2 linked regions of the Danio rerio genome follow. The protein of the gene in region 2 purifies or fractionates together with the protein of the main gene of each other region. This does not show direct contact. Links are inferred from orthologs where the notes say so. Each region holds a gene or a part of one and is shown on either strand. Other genes may lie near its edges.

Region 1 (6,138 bases), about 3.9 Mb from region 2:
ATTTAAAGAAAAAAACACATCAAATACTTTTGCTAATTTTTGATGGTATAAATAAGCAAAGCAGCATTTTTTTGTTGTTGAATGATTTAAGAAATAAATAAGTTAAAAAAATAATAATAATGAAAAAATTATTATTATTATATGTATATGTACATATATATATATATATATATACACACACACACACACACACACACACACACACACACACACACACACACACAAAAATGAATGAACAAATATACACACTTGGGATGCTGCTATACTAATAATGAACCATTTGAAACGGATCAAAATGGTCATATGCCTCCACAGATCATATGCATATCGAAATTGTGCTTTTTTGGTTTTGCATTAAAATATCTGTTAAAATTTATTGCAAAATTAGCATTTTCCATCTTCCTTTAATTACTCTTCATGGTTTCCGCTAAATACGTTCTTCCATGGTGTGCGTGCATGATGCGTGAGGCAAGCAAACACGACGTAGCCTTCAGTTATGATAAGAACAGTTTCCATAATTATACTTCATTTATAGATAAAAGTCTATGGTTCTGCATACAATGACTTTATCTTGCCGGAGTTTATTTCGGTTTCACTTTACTTCAGGAAGCATTAATGCCGCTTTGTGGGTCTATTGGAGAATCTTATAAATATCCCAAGCAAATCTTATAAATGTTGGAGACATAATTGTTACATAAGCGCACTAAATCGCACTTCAGAAGCGTTTATTTGAGAGTGCACAAGAAGATCTGAGCTTGAGCAGCGTATATTTGAGGCGGCGTGCAAGAAGTTTTGTGCATAAGGAGAGGAAATCGGTCCGCAAGCAAAGAGATTCGCATGCTCGTATTACATAAATGCGCTCACAACATTTCTCCATTTGTCATTGAAATAACGCCATAGGTGGTTGATAAATTTGTGTAAAAGACCTGCCGCCACAGCTGGAAAAACACTGCTCTCTGAACTGGCTCTGTGCAAGTTAGAATTCATGTTCAGGCTCAACACAAGTAAATGTCCCATCAGTGAATATTATAGTGAGACATGCCGCATGTCAGCATGCGAGCACAGGTGGGTCCAGAACCAGAAATTGCCTGACATGCAGGAGATCTTAGAAGTACCTCATTAGTACAAGTGAATGAAATTTATGATGTGCAAATTAAGTCTTGCTTCACAATGGTAAAACTCAATTTCAACAATAATTATTTCCATCTGTCTGACTTGACGAGCATTCAATCAGTTATGTTTTGAAATGACTGTAACTTTCACATTGTGCTGTGTCGCATCTTAAAGTTAAAACATCTTATTCCTGTTATCAGTTTTTCATATATATTAATCAAACAACAAAAGATAATTTAAATGAATCAATCTGCTCTCGACTAAATAGCTGGATAGGCTACTCTAGATCCATAATGGTTAACCTTTATTTAATTTTTACACTGAAGATATAGTATGCAGTGTTATTTTTTATTAGATTTTTCTTAGAAATATAGATTTTTATTTAGCTTTTTCAAAACTTAACAATACAGAACATTGAAATTAAGCAACAAACAAACTAAAGTAAACCATACACACAGTACATAAAACAAATAAATAAATAAATAAACAAACGGAGGATATACAGTTTAAACCAATGGAGAAAACTATTTTGTCATATTAAATCATGTGGTACAGCTTTAATATAATTCAAAATGGATTCCAATTATTTTTTAATAATTCCCCTTTCCTCTCAAAGAATATGTGATCTTCTCCAATGGTATACAGTTGAGGTGCACTTTTGAGATCCACAGTCCAATTAGTACATCAATGTCTGTTTTCTATTTTAAAGCAATACATTGTTGAGCTATTGTCAAAAACATTTCAGTAAGCTTAAAAGCTTGATTATGCTGGAGGTAAGAATCAATTCCATGAATCTGTGATATGATATTTATTCGTTTATATAACTGAAAACTATTGCTAGATACATGAAAAGCCTGAAAGCATTGCTTATTTTAGTATTATCTTTGCTATATTGTTTTGTCTTACTGGACATATAAACCGAAAATCGTGCCAAAATCGTGACCCAGAAACCATGAGAAGTCTGTATTGTTGTACTACTAAAACACTCACGCACACACACACACACAACACACAGACTACAAACCTTTGATGTCCCTGTGGACGATCATGTTGCTGTGCAGGTAGGACATGCCTTCCAGAATCTGTCTGGTATATTTGCGTGTCACATTCTCCGTCAAAGCCCCATAAGCCTTCAGCTGGTCTTTGACTGAACCCTGAGGGGTGGAAAGATCACACTGAACTCTATATCACAACAGCCGTATTGTTATTAAACAGGTGTTCCGTGACACATTTCAACCCATACAATAAAGAGATCTGGCATTACAGCTACAGTGCACCAAAAAAGGAAACTATGTCATTGCATACTCACCCACATTCAAAGATGTATATGGTTAATTTTTCCTCAGGAACACTATAGTAGTAGTTTCCATAGATTTTTTTTTTCCAACAACGACTCGTCCTAATTGATTTCCAAACGCTTAATAAATGTGGTTCTTTTATCAAACTCACCCCGGGCATATACTCCATGAAAATGGTAAGCGTCTTCTCATTGTGGTCTCTAAGGCAGCCGTAGTACTGGACGATTCGTTCATGATGCAGGTTTTTCAACAGCTGTATCTCACACTCTAAAGCACTCACCTCCTGCAGAAAGAGGGGCAAGAGTCATGACACGACCACAGCTGAGCAGAGCAGCTATGACCAGAGGGGGCTATGAGGGAGATGACTGTGCATGAAGGTGGAAGATCAACTAAAAACACACAAACCACAACACACTAATGCCAAACTGTTAACATGTAGATAAGAGAGATTGAACATCCAGGAGGTGCTTTTTGCTTTTGTGCATGTCTGTGTGTGTGTTTGTGTGTCAATTGGGGGCATGATCAATGAGAAATGCTTTGTTAGACTACCCCGCTTCCCCTCGCCTCAAACCCCCTCTGAACCAAATACACAATCACACACAGATACAGGAAGCGAGAGTGCATGTTTTTGCAATGGCAGACAGGAAAGGATTTGAAGAGAGGGGGAGAAGTTCAAGAAAGAAAGATAAATCAGGGGGGAGAAAAAAACATGCTGGTAATCTCAGAGAAAAACAACAAAGGAAAGAAAATTAAAAGAAAAAAAAGAGAAAGAAAAGAAAAAGAACAATAAAAGAAATAAAATGAAAACTTTAATTCTTTTAGTATTATGAATCTCATTCATAATAAATAAAAAGAAAAACAAATAAATAAATCTACAAATAAATGCATAAATAAATAAATAAATGAATAATTAAAAATAAGTAAAAAAAATTATAAATGCATAAATTAATAAGTAAAAAATGATGCATAAATAAACAAATAAAAAAATGCAAGAATAAATAAATAAACAAGTAAAAATATAAATGCATAAATAAATAAATATATAAATGCATAAAAGTAAAGATATAAATGCATAAATAAATAAACAATTAATAAAAAATGAATGCACTGATAAAAAATGTATAAATAAATAAAAAAATGTAAAAAATAAATGCATGAATAAATAAATAAACAAATAAATAAATGCATAAATAAATAAATAATAAAAGTATAAATAAAAGCATGATTAAATAAATACGACAAAAAAAAAAAAAACATGTACCTTGCTGGTCTCTGGACTGGCAGGGTCAAAATGAACCTGTTTTGCTGCAAGTTCTCTGCCCGTATCCACATCATAGCACAGATAAACCCTTCCAAAAGCACCCTGACCCAGCAACTTCCCTCTGCGCCACGTCACTGGAGCTGTAGGGGCTACACATATGCACATATAAATACACAATGATTGGCTGAACGACAAAGTAATTGACAGTTTCACTCAAAAGCATACATGGGCACATTCTCAAAACTTTTTAAACCGTTTCTATTGACCTTATTTTGCAATGCAAAAGTAAGCTCTATTCTGCAATAGTTTTAGAATTTCCAACTAGGAATATGATAATACATATCTTAGGGGTGCCAAACTCAGCAGCCCAGCACAAACTATTTCCAACCTTCCTTCAATACACTTACCTAGGGGTTTAAAACAAGCCTGAAGGACTCCATTAGTTTGATCAGGTGTTAAAGCCAAACTGTGCAAAACGAGTTTGACACGTGATATATGTTGCATGAACAAAATAAAAAATGTAAAGTTTCATATATTAGCGATTATATGTGGTGTCCCAAAATACATTGATTACAGTAATCAGGGTTTGGCAATAAAGATGTGTGAGAGATGCACAGTATTGTCAGTACTGCCTTGTCGCTCAAGTTTATAATTTTCCATTGACCATTTTGCAATATGTGTGCAAATGCAATCTTACAATAAATTGTAAAAAAATGTTAAATTAAAATACTGTTCATGTTAGCAAAAGGAGGCAGGTGAAAACATACAACAAATGAATTAAAAGTTTGCAACATAAAATAAAAATAAAATCTTGAACCAATAAATGTACTAATGGCTGTAGCTGCTCTTATGTGAAAGCATAAGGTCAATAAGATCATTCAGTCATTTATTTTCTTGTTGGCTTAGTCCCTTTATTAATCTGGGGTCGCCACAGCGGAATGAACTGCCAACTTTTTGTTTTACACAGCGGATGCCCTTTCAACTGCAACCCATCTCTGGGAAACATCCATCCACACTCATTCACACTCATATACTACGGACAATTTAGCCTACCCAATTCACCTGCACCGCATGTCTTTGGACTATGGGGGAAACCGGAGGAAACCCACACGAACGCAGGGAGAACGTGCAAACTCCACACAGAAACGCTAACTGATCCAGCAGAGGCTCGAACCAGCGACCTTCTTGCTGTGAGGCGACAGCAATACCTGCTGTGCCACTGGGTCACCCCTCAATAAGATCATATATTACAAAACACTCACACTTATGAGGGACTGCCCGGTCCTGTGGACGAAGTCTGGACTGAGTATTCTCCAGCTGCCAGCTGCCCAAACTCTCCTCGCTGCCGTTCAGAGATCGCCGTGATGGCACCAACGTGAACAAATTTCCTTGCGGACGACGTATTCGTGGGAATGTCCGTCGACCTGAGGAGCAACAATATTTGTATTAGGTGTAAGACAGTAATTCAATCAATTCAATTCATCTTTATTTCTATAGCGCTTTTACAATGTAGATTGTGTCAAAGAAACTTAACATCATAAGTTCTAGTAAACTGAAACTGTGTCAGTTCAGTTTTCAGAGTTGAAGTTCAGTTTAGTTTAGGTCAGTGTGGTTTAATTTTCATTGCTGAAAGTCGAAACACTGAAGAGCAAATCCTTCGATGCGCAGCTGTACAAGTCCCTAATTAAGCAAGCTAGTGGCAACAATAGCAAAGAACAAACTTCACCAATTGACGAAAGTGAAGGAAAAAAACTCGAGAGAGACCCGGCTGTGTACTAATAATGTGTACAACAAAAATGTAGTGTAATGTAGAGCAGGGATTCCCAACCGGTGGGCCGCGGCCCACTAGTGGGCCTCATCAATCCTGCAGTTAAGCTCTTTAAAATATGCGCATAGTTGTCCAAATTAATGTCCTGCCAGTGATTTACAATGGACACGTGAGACTTTGTGTTTTAGTGAACATCTGTTCTCTGTTTCTGTCAGCGAACTCCAATAATGTTCAGCAACAAACCAAACCGCCCTCAGATCGATGTGTTTTAACAGATTTAGAGTGTTTTTGCGTTGTTTTTCTTTTGTTTTTAATGGATATGAATAGTAGACCAATAGATGAATAGTAGTCAGTCTAATTCAAAGCAGCAGCTGTTTTTGCCATCTCCTGTAGTCCTGTCAGGTTCACTTTTTGAAGAAATACCCAAATACTCTGCAGTTGTGTTTTTTTCCAAATATTGAAATACATATTGTTAGTTTTTTTTTAATAAAATGATGTAGAATAATAAAAGAATAATAGAAGGCAAATGAAATGTTTTGCTAATAAATAAAGCTTTAAAATAAGCATTTTCCTTAGACAATCAGTTTGGGCCTTAAAAAAAAATCAGAGAGGGAGGTGGGCCTCGAAGGGAAAAAGGTTGAGAACCACTAATGTAGAGTGTCATACCTTCACTGTGATCTTTATGATGCATCGACACA
Region 2 (6,138 bases):
TATATATATATATATATATATATATACACACATACATATATATACATACATACACACACATATATATAAATAAATAATTTATATATATATATATATATATATATATATATATATATATACTTACATATATATACATACATACACACACATATATATATAAATAAATAATTTATATATATATATATATATATATATATATATATATATATATATATATATATATATATATATATATATATATATATAAAAAATTCTTGAATTAGCTAGTTATATGAAAAGCATATTTCCAAAATATACAATTATTGTCTGTAACTGCAATTACTTCTTAGACAATTAATTGTCAGCCAAATTTCACACAAAAGAGGTTTATAGAGCCAACATGCACATCACCAAATGGGGCAGAATGAAGCTTGACATTAGCTGCTTGATTGGGCATGTGTTTGCAGACGCGCACATCATCTCTACAACAGACGATACTGACCTTAATGGCTTTGAGAGAGCCGCTGAAGAGCATGTTGTGTGAGGACACTAGAGTGCACACAGGGTTATCGTGTGCCCGGATGGTGTTCACTTTCTGAAGGGTCTGGATATCCCAAACCTGAGGAAGAGCAAGTGAATGTGTATTAGTTACTGTCCGAATCAGTAGTTTGATTCCTCTTTTAAATGCACTTCAGGGACACTCACAATGATTGTACAATCAGCTGAGCCACTATACAGCTTGTTCCTGCAGAAACAAAAAAAAATGTGCAAGAATTTGTAAGTTCCCTTGTCCATTTAAAGACAACATGAACATGACATTTGCAACCGTTTTTACTTTGTTAAATTCTTTTTAAATATTGTATATTTTTATTAGAGCTGTAACCAGAGCCTAAAACTACACTTCATAATTGTTTTTTCAGTGCTTTCAAAATAAAAGCATACAGCTTTTTGTTTGGTGCTTTTTAAAATGCACAAAATGGATGTGACTGTGTGTCATTCGTAAAACATGGTTATGTCCACATAAAAATCAGTGCAGTGCATCAGATTACATATTTATATGATTATTTTAATTTGTAAAGCTGGTTCGGAACAATAGTCATTTTTCTTAAAGGCCAAATTGTGCATAACACTTGTTAACATTTCATATACTTCTTATACTTGTCAACCTCAATGTTTATTTTGAACTTGATGACTGTTAATTTAGGCCATTACCTATAATACACTGATTTGACTTTTTCAGTAGAACTCAGGCTTCAATGTAAGAATGAAACACATCTCTCACTAACAATCTGCACTGATGAATCAGACCCAGTAAAAAATAAATAAATAAATAAATAAAAAAAAAACTTTTCTACGGATATTTGTCCATAATTAACATCTGATAAACGTTTTTAAAACTAAACTGCTAATAGACATGTCGTATTCCAAGTAGGTCTGACCTGCACAGCCATAGAATACACAACCTCTGACCTACACAAGTTTTTGCTTAATTGACCGCCATGCAGATGTTCATTTATAGCCCAGGAAGCCAAATTTATACATTTCGTGAATTGGGAATACACAACTTTAATTTATAACACTAAAACACTTTGAAATTTTAAAGATAACAGTAAATATAAAATAGCAATGAAATGGAGAGAAACAAAGCTATGAAATTGTTAAAATGCAAAAGCACTTTGTGAATGCACCCGATGAACATTCGTTAAAGACTTTCAGCTATACGGATTGTCATTTAAAGGCTAGATCAACTAGTCCCTCCAGCAGATCCAAAGTAATCTTTTGGCAAAACTGTCAGCCTGCTCCTCCATATTATGCTATTATGAATATTATTGTGCAATAGGTCTGCGCGATTTGGGCAAGATATTTAATTGCAATTTTTTGACAGATATTGTGATTTTCATTTAATTTTGTAGTCAAGCTTCAGCTCAATAATCTGTAAGCCGTGGCAACAATTCTTCGACAACTTTTAAAAATGACCTATTTTTGTTCGGTGTCTGTGACTTAGAAACCAAAATATTCCCATATTACCAATGCTGTTTATCTTTTTTGATTGTAATTTGTCTATTAATGCTTCTGAAGCAGCAGACGCCATTATCCCACTTGCTCACGCTTTCCTGTTGTTTTTTTTTTGTGGATGTTCGGTTGCACAATTCTGACTAGGCAAAACAAAAGTGTGCTCACTCAGTTAGCTAGTAAGACTGTCACACACAAACAGCAGTCACACATTTGCTCTGGGTGGGAGAAAAGAAATACATAGATATTTCATATTGCAGCCTCTTGCGATTTACTAATCGTAACGTTTCAAGTTGCGATTTGATTTTGATTTATCAAACAGCCCAATTGTACAATAACCATAATTAGAATGTTTCTCAATTTAGTAAACTGTAAATAACAGTATGGAAACGAAAATGAAATGCTTTGATTTAATTTTCCATACTTCTTTCGGACCTGCAAGTGTCTCAAATCAAACGCAAAGGAACTCACTAAAGTCTTAATTTAAAAAGCTTACCCCTGAATGCACAATGCCAACACTATGCCATCATGGCCTTCGAGAGTCTTCTGGCATTTGTATGTGGTGCACGTGTCCCAAACCTGCGTAGAGCACAGATGTACAGATGATTTATCTGTAAAAAGAAGGTTACACACCAACCAAAGACAGCAGGTGAAATTACCTTGATGGATTTGTCTGATGACCCACTAAAAAGTAGATCGCCTGTCGAATAAACACACAGGCACCACACCGGACCCTGATGGCCCACAAAAGTACCCTTACATTTGAAGATCTGCTGGGGGTCGTAGGCTGCAAAACAATTCATAAGAGTCAGACGATTAGGGTTCCTGCTCTAAACCCAATGTCAAATTCCCTGACTTTCACTGACTAAAAAGCACATATAAATAGAAAAACAGGCCGCAGTCATGCTTGGTAGTGCCTCCAGAATTGTGTTGTTCTGCGATTGCTGAATTGAAGGCAAAATCAAGCAAATAAAGCAAAATTTAGAGCTGCCTGCAATTTTATTTTTTTTTTTATTTATGCAGATTTCCACACCATCTGCATTGTTTTTTATTGAATAACACTCTTTTCATGCATGGAAAGTGCTCATGTGCTGTGTGATACCTTAAGCTGTCAACAGTGGTTCATGAGGTTAAAATAAGGTGTAAAAAATAAAAATGTTCAAATTTGAACAGCTTTTTACAGCAAAACAACACAAAAAAGGGTGTAAATACTGCCGCAAATTGAGAAAAGTCAAAGCAATATCAGCAATTTTAGGCTGCAAAAATCAGATTTTTTTTTTACACAAAATTCAAGAGGGACGCGTTCAGCACTGAGTAGACAAACAAAAAAACACCCACTGACAGTATTTTAACAGCTACAGCCTGGTGATTGCATTTGTTGCCTGCCAAGGGGGGAGGACTAAAATGACAGTGAAAAGTAGCCTAACCTTAACACAAGGTAGAAACACATTATTAAAAAAAAAAAAAATTTTGCTAAACAAGATGCAAACTTCAAGACAATCAAAAAAATCCCTGCTATTTCCTGACTTGGAAAAAACAAACATAAAATTCCCTGACTAAAATGGCCCTTTTTTAAAGTCCATGGCCCGAGGGAACCCTGTTCAACATATTCACAGAAACTGAGAATAAAAAGGAGAAAATGAGGACACTTACAGCCCAGTATGCCCATATTGAGCCTGGCATTGATGTGAGACAGTTCATCCTGCAAAAGGAGAGAAGTGTTAGAAAGCTAATACAAAGCAGCTGTACATCTTATTTTGCTAAAACCCAGATCGAAAATAGACCTACGTTTAGCATGGAAGCATCTCGCCTGAACTCCATCAGATCTTCACTGAGCTTGCTCTGATTCTCATCCAGCACATCTGCCACATTAGCACAAAAAAGACCAGCAAATTGAACACTAATGCACATTTTGGCTTACAAACAACAAGCGGCTAAGAGTTAGCTCCATGTCCTCACCGAACTTGAGTTCCAAGTTTTTCTCCAGCTGGTCCAGCTTCTCTGAGAGTTTACCAAGCATTGAGCGCAGGAACGAAATGTCCTGGTCCTTCTGCGCCAGTGTCACCTGCATCTCATGGAATCTGTCATCCGTCTGCTGGAGAAACTCCTTTAGTCCCTCAAACTTACAAACCTCCAGGTGAGTCTCGTATGTGTCCTGATTCCCGATGAAGGTGCAACTGGAAGAAAAATCCAGCGTAGGTGAATTTGAGGTTGCTTTATATTTTGTATTTGGTTTCATATGTATGGTAGCAATCAATAGGAGCTTTTCTAAATATGCATACCCATATTTAGAATGAGGGCACTTGATGTGTTCACATTCTTTCAGATGGGCCTCTAAGTTCATAGTGAGCAATGGAGGGCAGTTGGGGTTGTTGGGACAGCGAACGGGTCTGTAGTCACAGCTTACTTCATGATCTCTGTCAAACACATTCCAGAGTTATTACACTCCCTTTCACTGACTCACGCGGATGTTGCAATCAAACGCCGCTATTGCAAAAGCCAGTGAACCTGTGTACTCACTTTCTGGTGCTGAGCTTGATGGTAAAAGGACAGCCAAGTGGGTCAACCTCATAGGCACCAGACTTGCCCGAGGCAGCTGGACGACAGCCGTACTTGCAGTGGATGAAAAGCTCTCCGATTTGCTCAGCCACAGCTATGTTATTCACTACCACTGTGAGCTTCGAATTGTCCACCGGGCATTTCTCTGTAGAAGCATAGGATATTGGGGAGAAAATAAAGGAAAGACTAATGTTATATTGATAACATGACTCAAACTAACAGCATGAAAAGAAGCATTCAGAATGGACAGGAAATGAAAGAGGAACAGAGATAGAAACCTGCAATTAGCCACTCCTGTCAGTGACAGCACTTTTTGAAACCACAAATAGTCAAATGTGTGTCTGAACATATTCAGATCCTATCTTCTTATTCATGTTTTTTTGTTGTAGCTTGAAATCATTACAAGCATTGTTAAATAAAAAAAAAGATAAATATACATAATAATTCACACACACACATATATGTATATAAATATATATTAGTGGTGTAACTGATCTCAGATCTTTTGGTTCGTATCATACAATGGTTTTTGAGTCACTGATTGGACCATTTTTCAGATCAGCAAAAAAAGGAGATGACAAATGTCAATTGTTTTCCATGCATTAATTTATATAGAAATATTATGGAAAAAACTATTGGTTTTAGCAAACATAACTTAAAACCTGTCATTTTAATAAAAATAAAAATAAAGAAAGAACCAGCTGGAAAAAAATATATATATATTCAATACGAAAAATGACCGTTGCTACTGTTGCTGATATTAATAAATATAGAAATTCAACATCTTGTACAACAGATCATGTTTATTTTCAATAAATGATTCAACAATTCACACATAAAAATTTATGTTTCATTATGGGTGGAGCATTGTTGAAAACCTATTGAATTACATAATATTGATGTTTTTTTTGTCGCCACCCATTGGATACACAATGTAAGTGCTACAACATTCTCCAGCGTCAAGTTCTATTAAGCAGGGATTTTAATCTTTACCATAAACAGTGTTCATATCTGAGCTGTAAACTGTTATTCCAGGACTTGAGTGATTTAATTGTTTGTAACTAAAGTGTAAAAACTGAATCTCTCTTGATCAAATGCAGATTTGAATGCAGCGCTTTCGAGGGATTGAAAAGCATATGCAAATCATTATTAGTTTTCATTCATGTTGTGTGGGTTTGAATTGAGACCTTGATCTTTTAATATTTATGTGTAGCTTTACACTGAATGCATTCATGCAAGCTAAACAAACAAACAAACACCTTTAATTATTAACCTAAGTATGCAATTAGGTTAGTCCCACAACTAACTTTTCCGTCATCATTGTATTTTGTAGGGAAGCCAAAATGCTTAGATGCACGTGATTTGAATGACGCGAAAGGCGATATCTCTGCAATTGTTATAAATGTTGGATTAACTATTATTAGGGATGTAACGGTATTGTAAATATCATCATACCGCAATAGCAATTTTTTTCGATATTACCGTAGTTGCATGACTCGATAAAACTATAGGTCTTCTGAGAAAATTTGCTCAGGCGAATGAAGCGAACAGGAGGTAGCGGAAACTACAATTCCCATCAGCCCAGGC

The links. The genes of interacting proteins can lie anywhere in the genome.
Region 1: the proteins of traf7 (region 2) and map3k3 purify together in Homo sapiens (affinity purification with mass spectrometry; 5 studies listed by BioGRID and IntAct, with this or other methods). This does not show direct contact. The link is inferred for Danio rerio from reciprocal best matches to the Homo sapiens genes TRAF7 and MAP3K3.

The regions. Positions count from the first base shown.
Region 1 is NC_133178.1:30,611,121-30,617,258, forward strand, and holds part of map3k3 (mitogen-activated protein kinase kinase kinase 3), read right to left. Parts: coding exon 6,107-6,138; intron 5,097-6,106; coding exon 4,935-5,096; intron 3,822-4,934; coding exon 3,673-3,821; intron 2,695-3,672; coding exon 2,563-2,694; intron 2,268-2,562; coding exon 2,138-2,267; intron 1-2,137. UniProt on the Homo sapiens protein: Component of a protein kinase signal transduction cascade. Mediates activation of the NF-kappa-B, AP1 and DDIT3 transcriptional regulators.
Region 2 is NC_133178.1:34,478,250-34,484,387, reverse strand, and holds part of traf7 (E3 ubiquitin-protein ligase TRAF7), read right to left. Parts: intron 4,697-6,138; coding exon 4,513-4,696; intron 4,410-4,512; coding exon 4,275-4,409; intron 4,170-4,274; coding exon 3,952-4,169; intron 3,855-3,951; coding exon 3,781-3,854; intron 3,695-3,780; coding exon 3,646-3,694; intron 2,780-3,645; coding exon 2,652-2,779; intron 2,572-2,651; coding exon 2,489-2,571; intron 725-2,488; coding exon 685-724; intron 599-684; coding exon 482-598; intron 1-481. UniProt on the Homo sapiens protein: E3 ubiquitin and SUMO-protein ligase that plays a role in different biological processes such as innate immunity, inflammation or apoptosis. Potentiates MAP3K3-mediated activation of JUN/AP1 and DDIT3 transcriptional regulators.